Linked DNA regions of Rattus norvegicus. The protein of the gene in region 3 interacts with the protein of the main gene of each other region in a biochemical or structural test. Links are inferred from orthologs where the notes say so. Each region holds a gene or a part of one and is shown on either strand. Other genes may lie near its edges.

Region 1 (3,645 bases), on a different chromosome or scaffold from region 3:
AGCAAACAGTGACATTGGGGGTACGGGATGAGGAGCAGCCGCAGGAAGTAGTCCCGAGACAGCTCCCAAAGTTGTTTTTTTTTTTCCCGGTACACACATCGTAGCACTCTTTAGTACTCTTCAGAAACAGTCACCCTATGGGAGCACCAGGGCTCCAGGAGAAAGAACTTGAATTTCAGGTCTCTTTATTCTTCTTCTGAAGGGGAAATCCTGGGTTTGACATGCCGGTGCGTCTCTGCTTTGCCTTACTCTGTCTTTAGAGGAGCTTCTTTTCTTGCCCCCGACAGAATACTCAATTCAGGGCTTGCTCTGCACCACCTTCATTCACTTGTCCTTCTTATATAAGAAACTGAAAAATAACTTTGAACTTAGGAGGGCTGGGGTGGGTGTCTGTTTCTTCCCCGACTGGGGGAAGAGGGGCTTTTTAACCGAATAGGCTAGGACCTTCTCTCCTAGAAACATTGGCTAGAGCTTCCTTTTGGTCGCTTTCTACAGTAAACATTCAGTGCTTTAAGCTCTGGATTCCAGAGAGGACACTCACTAAGGGGATGGATGGCCTCAGTGGTGTGACTAATCCCCTTGTTGCTATAAACCTGTGCCTGTGGCTCTGAGGGGCGCCAGGAAGTTGTTGTAAAGAGGAAATCCAGACCTGAAAAGCATCTTCCGCCTCATCTCCAGTTGTTAGGCATGTCCCTAGTGGAGTGCTGTGTCTGGCAAGGGCAAGGAGCACTCAGGAGCCTTAGGATCACTACAGGAAGAGGACAGAAGGACATCTTGCCTTCCGCCTGCCTGCTGTTCACTGCTCTGTCCTTGACTGCTCACTTCCTCTGTTCCTGTCTACCCTAGCAAAAACCCAGGATGGAGTGGCCTTGGAAATCCAGCCACTCAACAGCCAGGAGGGGCTCGATAGTGAGGAAAAGGAGAAGAAAGCAAGCAAGGGACCCAAGAAGGAGAAGTCGGTCCTGCAGGGCAAGCTCACACGCCTGGCTGTGCAGATCGGGAAGGCAGGTGAGTAGCTAAGCCCGCCTCCCATTGCAGATGTGAAGTGCTGTCCCGTGTGTTGGCTGCTGCAGCCTCCATCCCACCACATCAAGCAGGACTGGCACTTGGGTGGCTCCTGAGCTCTAGGGAGCTGCATCTATGGACACCTGGTGGGCTTTGAAGGAAAGAGATTTCCTCCAGTGTAGAAAGGTTAATAGCCCTGAGGTCTCTTTCATCCAAATACTGGGGAGTGGGGGTGTCATGTAACAGGAAGGCAGCCTTAAGAACTTTCACCTGTCCTGGAATCCCCCCACCCCCAGAGTTTGCTTTTAGGCAGTTCCCTGCTTGGTTGTAGAATCTTGTGACCCAGCATGGAGCAATAAATACACAGTAAAGATTGCAGTAAAGAAGAGTGGTTAATGTATTCTGCTCTACTCACAAGAAGGGTCTTATACCTAATGACAAGTGGCTTCCCCATCGCCCACCCCTACACCTCCCTACCACCCTCTGGTCAAGGGGAGCAGCGGGGAGAGGTAGCAGAGGGTGGTTCCTTTGTGCCCCTTGAGGTATGGTCTGTCAATGAGTATTCTGTGACCTCACACTTCTGCTTACCACTCAAACATGCTTCTCTGGGTACAGTTCTCCAGATGTCCTTGCTGAAATGTATACTACCTTCAGAAAGTCTATGGCAGGGCCTAAGAGTCTCCAAGGATCTGAGATGGACACAACAGTAGCCACCGTCTACAGCCTGCTCCTGAGTAACCACATATGTCCAGTAGCTGTCTTACTGGACTGCACCAAGTCAGAGCATTTTGAGTATCACAGAAAGTTCTGGAAGGAGTGTATTGACCTAGCCAACTCATTTCAGTCCAGTACTTAGCTTATCCTGACTACCTTGAAATCCTATGTATAGACCCTCTGTGGACGAGCTGTGGATACAAAGGCCAGTTGTTGAGACACGTACCCAGGTCAGGAACAAATAGATCCTCCGAGCCCAAGTCTTCTCCTCACCCCTGCCTCAGTATTCCTTGGAGATAAGAATATCAAGCAAGGCTAGGGTGGCATAAGCAAGATGCCTTGCAACTAAGAGAGAGAGAGAGAGAGAGAGAGAGAGAGAGAGAGAGAGAGAGAGAGAGAGATTCCCTATGCTTCCTTACACTAGTCCTAGCCTTAATCAAATCAAACCCAAACTAATCTTCTTTCATTGATTTTACCACCACCATCCATGCCCTTGCTGTGAGGCCCCGGAAGCATCAGGGCCACACTGTGGCTTCAATATGACTGTTCTCCAAATGTTGTACATATCAATCCTTAACCCTCAAACATGTAAGGTGACAAGCTATCCCACATGGTTGAAACATTCCGTTTTCTCACTGAAACTCCCAGAAATTGTTGTCTTTAGCAAACCAGGACGGCTGCCCTGCCAGTGAAGCTTCACTGACCCCTAGCTTTCTCTATAGTAGCTGTCTCCTAGGGCTGTAGAGGCTTGGCTGTGAAGGCCTGGCTGGCCTGTGGCAGGCCCTGTGTAAGCCCTTGATTCATTGTCCTCTTTATGCCGTGCTGTGATAGGAGGAGTCATGTAGGTGACATATGCTAGCACTGTGGGAACACCCCTGTAACCAGGATGTGGAACTTTCACCTGGAGGAGAGAAAGTCAAAGTTGTAAGCTCCAAAGTGGGCAGACGCAGTCGCTGCTCAGTAAACTATGGAATGCAGTCATAAAATGTAGGCTACCTTGTTAACAGAACAGATGTACTAATAAAGCAGTGGCAGTCGGTCCACATGTAGCCGACACACAAACCCCTTTAGACATTGCAGTTTATAAGAAGAAAGGGCCTCAGGATCATGACCCAGTTAAAAAAAGGAGCATCAGGTCCAATCTCTGAACAAATTTCAAAACAAAGGAAAAAAAAATTGGAGGATTACGGCAGGAAGTTTCACATTGAGTGATTTAATGTTCAATGTAGTGTGCGTGATAAAGAGTGCTCAAGTCTCTGCAGCCTGCTTCTTAGTTCTCTGCAAGCAGTGGGCTGGGCCCAGTTCTCTGAATGGAGGTGCAACCCAATCTCTTCAGGCTTTGGGATCTGGACATTTAAAAGTAAGAATCCTCTTTAAGAGGAAGCCCACGGCCTAGCTTACTCTACTCCCCTTTTATTGTTTGGTCAGGTTTTAGGGGTCTGGGAGGTAGGGGGATAATTTGTTTGTTTTTGACACAAGGGCTCCCTTCTAGATCAAGCTGGCCTGAACGTATAGTCTTCCTGCCTCTGCCTCTCAAGTGCTGAAATTACAGGTATACGCAACGGTAACCCAGCAAACCCTCTTATTTATGAATGAAGAAGTTAAATTAGCAGCCCAACCCACAGAGGTTTACAACTAACACAAGGGTATGAGTCAGATTGGTGACGTGTTAAGAACAGAATCTTTATCTTTGGAACTCTGCGTTTAGAGATTTTGTTTTGTAGAAAAAAAAAACAAACAAAAAACAAAAACAATGGGGCTGGAGAGATGGCTCAGCAGTTAAGAGCACCCGACTACTCTTCCAGAGGTCCTGAGTTCAATTCCCAGCAACCACATGGTGGCTCACAACCATCTGTAAAGAGATCCGATGCCCTCTTCTGGTGTGTCTGAGGACAGCTACAGTGTACTTATATAAAATAAATGGAT
Region 2 (3,645 bases), on a different chromosome or scaffold from region 3:
TGGATTTTCCTCAATTGGGAATGGAGGGAAACACACATGACACAGAAATCCCTTTACCCCTTGGCTACATTATTAGGCTTGTCAAGAATTCCTTGTCAAGGAGAGTGAGTGAGCCCACCTTACCTTCAAGATGATCACCAACAGGCCAGCGCTCACGAGCAGAGGGATGAGACTACTAATGAACCAGCTAAACCAGAGGATGCCATTGTCCAGGCCCATGATGCGCATGGTCTCCTTCAACCGAGCCTCCTTCTCATACACAATGCTCTTGATGATCACAGCCACAGAGTAGATCCAGGCCAGAGTCATGAAGAGGGGCATTGAGCGGCTCATGACCCGCAGAAAACTGGAGGCACGGAAAAAAGGTATGAGAAAGAGGAAACAGTAAACCCGGCACTGATCCAAGACCTTGCACACTGAAGGAAAAACCACATCAGGGTTGCTCAAGAAAGGCCCATTGAACTCTCAAAGGGACAGATGTTTCGTTAGAGGTAGACAGAGATTCGAACCTGGGCTTCAAAGTATAGCCATGCAAATTTTCTTTAGGGACTCACTTTAATAACTAGGAAATGGTTAGGGTAATGTTAAGATAAAGGTAAATTACTTTACTAAGTACTAACACAAAGGGTAGGAGCAGAACCCAACCTGGTCTTTCTCTAAAGGTCAGTGTCTCTAGGATCTCCTATTGACTTGTTTTCCCTCTCATACCGTGTAGGACATGCCTATAACACACACTCTCTACAAGGACCTGGTCATCTAATGAAGATGTCGGCTTGTTGGTACACTCACATGTCATCAACATAACAGGGGTAGGGCATCTGTTGCACATAGACGCCCGTTTTCTTCTCAGTCCCCGTCAGCACTCTGATGATCGCCTGCTCCACCACATCCTGCAAGTAGGCGAAGCCACCCCAGACATAGCGCATATCTTCAAAAGGGTCAGCCCGGGGACCAGGGTCCCAGTACCTGAAACCAAACCTCAGGTGACGAAACAGTCCTACAAAGCACACCCTGAAAAATCCAATTCCCCCACACTTCCTTGGCCACTCTTCCTATTTTCTATCTCCCATTCTTATCACAGTTGACAAGTACATAGATTCTTGGTTAGAAATAGTCACAATGGACACTCCTTATATATATCCATACTCCTTATGGGTATATTTTTTCTTTTCACTTTACTAGTGACTAACACTGCATCTGCTGGACATACTGGAATTCCCTTACAAGCTGTCTGCCTCTTCTTATAAAAATATGTATGGCTAGCAAGGAGACCTAATGGCTTTCCTTTCTTTCTCCTGACTTTTAAGTCCTTTAGCTTAGTCTTTTGAACAGGAACATGGAAACAGAAAGACTAATATTTTATAGCCTTTGTATAACAGTCCTCAGCAATGGAGTTTTACCAAAGTCATGCCGTGGCTGATTTGTTGTTGACATTCCTCAATAAAGAACCACCAGTCATAAAAGTCATCCAAATTACGTTCTTGAGCTTTGCAAGACTGCGTTTCACCTTACCCATCCTTGATCTTATTGGTTCTCTCAACATTGTCAATGTCCATCCGGATCTTGTACTTTACATGGTGGGGCAGCTCCACACTATCAGGAGTGATTCCTGTGAACACGATACCAGCCCAGAACTTCCTCTCATCCAGCAGCTCCATGGACTTGTTGATGAGCCTGACTTCTGTTGGGATGGGCTCCAGCTTGTTCAGGTTGACACACTGACAGACAGAAGGAAACCTCATTAGAACTGGCAACCAGAAAGACAAGCAGTACTCAGCCTCCTTTGAGAGGCAGGAACTAGCCGCCTGTATTCTTAATCTGTACCGTCTCTAACGTAGTCTTCCAGGTTTCAGCCAAGCTTAGAACTGAGATTTGAGTGGAACACTGAAAGTTACTTATACTGCTTTGTGTGAGGGAATGACTCTCTTTAACAATTTTTATTCTCTTAGCAACATGTCTTAGCAAAGTCAAGTCACCGCGACTAAGCAACTAGAAATCAGATAAGAAAAGATTCTACTCAGCCTTTTCTCTTTCCATCATTTTTAGGATTAAAGATTTAAAGTTTTATCTGTCCCAAATTAGATTAGATAAGTTTCATAAATAATGCCTTTATAATAGAGCAGTTTATCATTAGGATCTAGAATATCAAAACAGAGGGAAAGCTAGAAGATAAGGATAGAAACACTGGGGTCGATCTGAACCAAAGCTAGACGTAAGCTTATTCGCTCGTTAAGCCATTCATCTAGTGTTTATCTTGCTCGCCAGGCCTGCAGAATATAGCTGTACGTGACACTACACATTCGTTCTAAGCTCTCCTTCTGCCTATAACTATTGCAACAGCTCAAAGGAAAAAAGGCCCCAGACTTTGCTAAAAGGTGTGCACAGCAGACCCTCACCTCCATGAATCGAGATATCGTCTGGATTGCCTGGTTGGTCTCATTGAAAGCTTCTCTCCATGTATACACAGAGCCATTTGGGGACTGAACATCCTCTGGGTTCTTGGCCAGAAATGCCATGATGTCTTGGGCAGTCCAATCTAATCCATCCAACTTTCGTTCCCAAAACTGGTCATTGCCTCTGCTGTCCAACATCGTCTGCCATTCCAGGAAGGAAATGTGAACACTGATCATCAGGTTCGTGGTAACGAGCACATTTGACCAAGATTGGAGTCTGACATGATTGATGTTGACCAAGGCTAAGGGATGAGCTGAGACACAAAGTCAGACCGCTGACTTTGAAGTTCACAGGCTTCCCACTGCACCAGACAGCTCACGTTAACTGTTTCAACTCTAACAAGAGCAATAGTAGGGTGCTGAGGGATCTATAGGCATCAGAACTTACACAACTCCATCAGAGTGTGGCTTTGGTACTGCCCCTCTCACGAACAGGAAAATGGAACTTCCGGGACGTTAAGGTAGCTCAGGAGCAGGAAAGTGGGCGTTGATTCCAGCACACCCACTGCACGGCACCCGCCTCTCTTTGATGGTGCCAAATAAAGCCCCTGTCTCTAGACCGAGCCCACTTTTAATGCTTAGTTCAGGGAGGTAACACTGCTGGTTAATCCAAATATAAGATGGTCTTCCTAACTCCAGGACACGGGGATGATACGAAGAAAAGAAGACCTGTTTCCCATCACCCATCAATGTGAAAAGGGTAAGCCATTCTGTCCCTCAACCAACCAGTCCAGGGGGACTGGGGTAAAAGTCTTCACAAATGCACTGCTGAGAAAGCGAGCCCACTGCTGACTGGGCAGAATGGAAACACAGCCACCATGCTCACTTCCCAGTTTCCAGGGGGAGGGGGAGGCCCTTGCTCTACTGAGCAGGATCTCCAAAAGCCTGAAACCCACACCTCCTTCATCCGTCTTCTCTTCACCAACCTTGCAAGCTTTCCCCCTAGGTGGCTTCCTCTTTGCTGTTTTAATGGTAACATAATGATTTCACAGAGTGCGTCTACCACAATTTCATTAACTACTCCTGCACTGCATAGCATCTAGTCTATTTCCAATTACTTACAATAACAATTATTTCAGTAATAACGTTTTCTCTCCCATGATGTAGGACGCATCCCCGGGGATGTGTGTGAAGCAAAGGTACAACAAAGGACACATTCATTCTAAGTGGGTTTCGAAACTCCCATTTCAAA
Region 3 (4,233 bases):
ATCTCACAATTTAATCGGGAGTTGGGAGGAAGGCTTTCCCTCACACAATGCTGAAAATACATAAATTTTAAGGCCATTCAAAAAGACTTCAAATCACTGTCTTTTAAATAAGAAATCTCTTTTCAGACCGTTGCTGCATTTTAAACAAGACTCCAAAAAATATTTGACTTGAAAATAGTATAAAACCTAAAACTCACTAAGCTAATTTGATGCTAAATTTACCCAACTTTAACTGCAAAATAAATGCCTTGTTGAGGAAAAAGGGGGAATCAAAGGTTCACAAAGGTGGAACCTCACATTTTCAACATGTCAAAAAGCTAAACATACTACTCTTTCAAAAATAACCTACTTCTTTAAAGGGTGGGTGTGTTAAGTAGGCATTTTCAAGTGACATGATACTTTATACAAAACAGAATGACACAAAAACATCTTTGCAAAGTGTTCATTCTCTAAAAGACTTGCTCTATTAAGGCTCTGAGGCTGAAGCCAAGTAGAAGCCATAAAAGGAAAGCGAAGTTCAATGTCATTTATTTTGTTCCCCTCTTTCATGTGCTCAAGAATAACCTCTTTCGCTGCCTAATTATATGTCCCCAAATCATAAAGTTCACCAGTTATGCACTTTAAACTCCTTCATAAAGCAGTCTGACTTTTAACAGGAATAACTTGATGGTTCACAAATCTCACCAATAAAATAAAAATGAAAACAAAAACTCCAGAGACCAGGCCCTAATAACACAACAACATAAATACTGGAAACAATTCTCTTTTTGAAATGTACTTAATAAAAGCCAAATAGCCAAGAACAAGTTGTGAACTCACTTGATCCTGATCTATAAAACCTATCTTTCCTCTTTCAACTAAAGGAAGTCAACTCTTTCCCCTCAAGTTTCTGGTAATTATTTTGGTAATATCTGATTAAACATCAATTTAAGCTTAAGCTACATCTACCTATAGTTAATATTTATTTAAAACACAGTATTATCTGTCACTTCCCTTACCACAAAAGCACTTGGGGGGAAGAGGGGAAGCAAACAAACTACACTTACAAAGGCACACAATTGAAGCACTACTAAGGGAAAAGACAGTAGGGTAGACTGCAACCAAAACTAGTTTTACCCATAAAGAAGGTTTCATTGGTTCAGAAGCGTTCCTAAGTCTGACTGGTGGAATGTCTGCCATGCTTCACGAATTCCTGCCCGCACAGTCTGTACCTATCACTTATTAGGCAGAACCAAACAAAACCAGATGGGCCAACACGAAAAAATATGAGGACCATACATCTGCAAAACAGCGCCACTTTTTCGCACAATGTGACTCTCCTGAAAATCTTAAGGATTTTATTTCTCTTCCCTTCCAATGTTGTTCCTAATCGGAACGGCATACAAGTCCTGACTAATCAACTTCTTGCAGGTGTTTGGGTTTTGTTTTGGTTTGGTAGCCATATCCTTCTCCGTCTCTATCCATACTCTTTACGACATTCTGCTTCCTAGAACGCCAGTTTCAAGAAAAATTTAGCAGCTGCTCGTCCTCAATCAGGTAACCAAACAAGCACTGTAAGCTACGGACTGAAAAGAAGGCATGACTTACTACAAGTAGTTCCTTGGCCGTCCAGAAAAAGCAATCGAGAATGGCAGGCAGGCAGTTTCTTAAGTCCAAAGAAAAAGACGTGCCTTAAAACGACCTCCATGTAGGATTAACGCGAAAACCAAAACAATCCACACCAACATAAACAAATGTGGCAGCCATCTCAGTGAGAGCGAATCAGTCTCTCCCCGCAGCGAGACTTAACTTTCTTCCGAAACAAAAGTTGCCAGACTCAGCAACTTGATATACATTGTATACGTCCCGGAACACTAAAACTTCTGGCCCTTATGCTCAACAAAGGAACTCTTTCTTCCGACGGCTGAAAAACTTTTCGTCCCACCACATTCTTACAACCCCATCTTAAAAAGAAAGGAATCCAGACGGTAGACGGGGCAAGGGGGTAAATCAGTTTTACTATTCAGTTGCTAAAACGACAAGGCATTCCGACCAGGGAGAAAGAAGTCAGACAACTCGGGCAGAGCGAGGTAGACTAAAGTACCGTCGCTTCCGGCCCACGAACTTGGCTGGACGCTTCCCGTAAAAAAAAAATTACCTCTCCGGGTGTCTCAGGGCAGCCGTCCCGAGGCTCGGCTTGACATGGTTTCCTGCCCTTCCTCAGTGGCTCCGGGCCCCGCCGAGGCTCCCGCGAGGACTAGGCGGATGTGGAGCTGCCGCCCGCAGCAGCGCGGCTGCTTCGGTGGGGGCTGGGGTGCGGGCTGGCTTCCTGCTTGCGACTTCTGTCAGGAGTTTCCCAGCCTCGTCTAGGTTCTCCGCCGAAGGAAAAAACTTTTCACTCGTGACACCGCCCGGAATTGCCGTGCGAAACTCACTTCCTGCCTGGGTGAAAAGCAGGATCCAGCTCGGTGCCCGGGAACCCGGAACCCCGGGGCGGCGCGCCGCCGAGGGGGAGGGGACGGCGCCCGCCCCGAGCCGCGGGACCTTGCGCGGCCCACGGGGGCGAGGACGCGGAGCTCCGCTGGCCTGGGCCGCACTAGGCCTCCGCCCCCACAGCCGCGCCGCGCGGGTATTGTCTCGAGTGCGCCGGCCGCACCCTGCGCCCGTCCGGCCCCCGCCGCCCCGAGCCGGAGCCGACCGGCCGCGCAGGCTGGAAGGCGACCGTCGGTCGGGCAGTCCGACCGGCCGGCCCGGTCTCTGCCACTCCCGCTCTAACCCTCCAGTCTCCCCGCCGCAGTCCCTGCGCTCTCCCCGGTTCTCCTTCCCCGCAGCCGCGGTGGCGCGGTCTCCTCAGGAGCTCGCGGGCCCGCGCCAGGGGCCGAGGCTGCGTCGCGCGCCGCCGCGCCACCTTCACTCGAGCGGGAGACGGAGAGGGGAGGCGAGGCGGAGGAGAGAAAGGAGGAGGCGGACCCGGGCCGGACCGGGGTGGAGGGAGTTTCTGCCTCACAGGCCGCGGCGGCAACAGCGCCACCGCCCCGGCGGCTAGGGGGCCGAGGCTGCGCGCGGCGGCGGCGGCGGCGGCGGCGGGGGCGGCGGCGGCGGCGGGGGCGGGGCGGCCTCCCGCGGGGGCGCCCCAACCGCCCACAGCCGGGCGAAGGCCGGCGCGAGCCAGTCAGCGCGCACGGGGTCTACGCGCCCGACGTCGGCGGCGGGGGGCGCGGGCCGGGGGCCGCGGGCTGGCTGGGAGGCGCGCGACGGGAGGCCCGCCCCCCGAGGCCGGGCCCGCCGAGCTCCCCCGTACGACCCCGCGAGGCCTCCGCCGCCCCGGCCGATCGAGTTTCTTTGTACGATCGTAATTGGTGCAAAGAGGTTGTTCAAGTGCAGCCCCGATTTCCAGGCAGCAGGTATCTCTTTCAGCCGCAGCACTCCGACATCCTCTAATGGCACGCTCAGGTTGCAGGAAACCACGGCCGCGGCTCCGTGCAGCTTCTTTCCACGCCGGGCCGGCCTCCGAGCTTGCTGGAAGCGGCGACGCGCCTGGGGCCCCTCCGAGGAGACAAAGCTGGTGCTGGGAAGGGGAGCGGGGCCCGCGAAATTGCCTCAAGACGGTGCCTTTGTTAGAGGAAACATTGGATGCACTCCGAGCGCTGCGCAGCCTTCCAGCCCCTACGCTTTCGGGCGTGCAGTCGTTCAGTCGCGCTGGCCCTGGTAGTTCTGCCTGGCAGGGTTTGCGTTTATTGCAGAGAGAGACTTAAGCATTCTGTCAACACATATGGCTTAGAAAGCTTCAACCATAACATTGCCGTTTTTACAGTTACTGCTTTAAGTATGTTAGCAGACAGAACATCCTTGTTTTACCCGAGGGAATGGAATAGATTCTGGGCAAACCATCGTCCACCCCCACTCTTCTGTATTAACTATGCACAGGGATGGTAATTAGCCTCTGGGTCCTTCAAGCCACTGGTTCAGTACTTCCGTCTGTAGCCCAGAGATAATTATTCATCACCAACTTTGAATAAAAAGCTATATGCCTTACAGATGAGTTTTGGCTTGCATCCAAGGGAATGAGTTCACGAAGTCCACCAAAGAATTATTTACTAAAGTGAGTTCTACGCCAGAGACGAATACTTGGAATAACTCCAAAGATATTCAAGTCATTTTGAATCGAAGTGGAAGCATTTTAGCTACCCCCAAAACTGCTAGTATTAACACGAACATAAGATTCTTAGCACAGAGGACAGTGGTATCAGGCCT

Evidence for each region.
Region 1: the proteins of Erbin (region 3) and Atp2b4 interact in a test that uses a peptide from one of them, tested with the Homo sapiens proteins (2 studies listed by BioGRID and IntAct). The link is inferred for Rattus norvegicus from reciprocal best matches to the Homo sapiens genes ERBIN and ATP2B4.
Region 2: the proteins of Erbin (region 3) and Abca1 interact in a test that uses a peptide from one of them, tested with the Homo sapiens proteins (2 studies listed by BioGRID and IntAct). The link is inferred for Rattus norvegicus from reciprocal best matches to the Homo sapiens genes ERBIN and ABCA1.

The regions. Positions count from the first base shown.
Region 1 is NC_086031.1:47,738,247-47,741,891, reverse strand, and holds part of Atp2b4 (plasma membrane calcium-transporting ATPase 4), read left to right. Parts: intron 1-846; coding exon 847-1,008; intron 1,009-3,645. UniProt on the Homo sapiens protein: Calcium/calmodulin-regulated and magnesium-dependent enzyme that catalyzes the hydrolysis of ATP coupled with the transport of calcium out of the cell. By regulating sperm cell calcium homeostasis, may play a role in sperm motility.
Region 2 is NC_086023.1:72,519,844-72,523,488, forward strand, and holds part of Abca1 (phospholipid-transporting ATPase ABCA1), read right to left. Parts: intron 2,595-3,645; coding exon 2,397-2,594; intron 1,719-2,396; coding exon 1,513-1,718; intron 967-1,512; coding exon 790-966; intron 347-789; coding exon 124-346; intron 1-123. UniProt on the Homo sapiens protein: Catalyzes the translocation of specific phospholipids from the cytoplasmic to the extracellular/lumenal leaflet of membrane coupled to the hydrolysis of ATP.
Region 3 is NC_086020.1:36,759,248-36,763,480, forward strand, and holds the start of Erbin (Erbb2 interacting protein), read right to left. Parts: upstream 2,907-4,233; 5' UTR 2,138-2,906; exon of another isoform or gene 1,588-2,137; intron 1-1,587. UniProt on the Homo sapiens protein: Acts as an adapter for the receptor ERBB2, in epithelia. By binding the unphosphorylated 'Tyr-1248' of receptor ERBB2, it may contribute to stabilize this unphosphorylated state.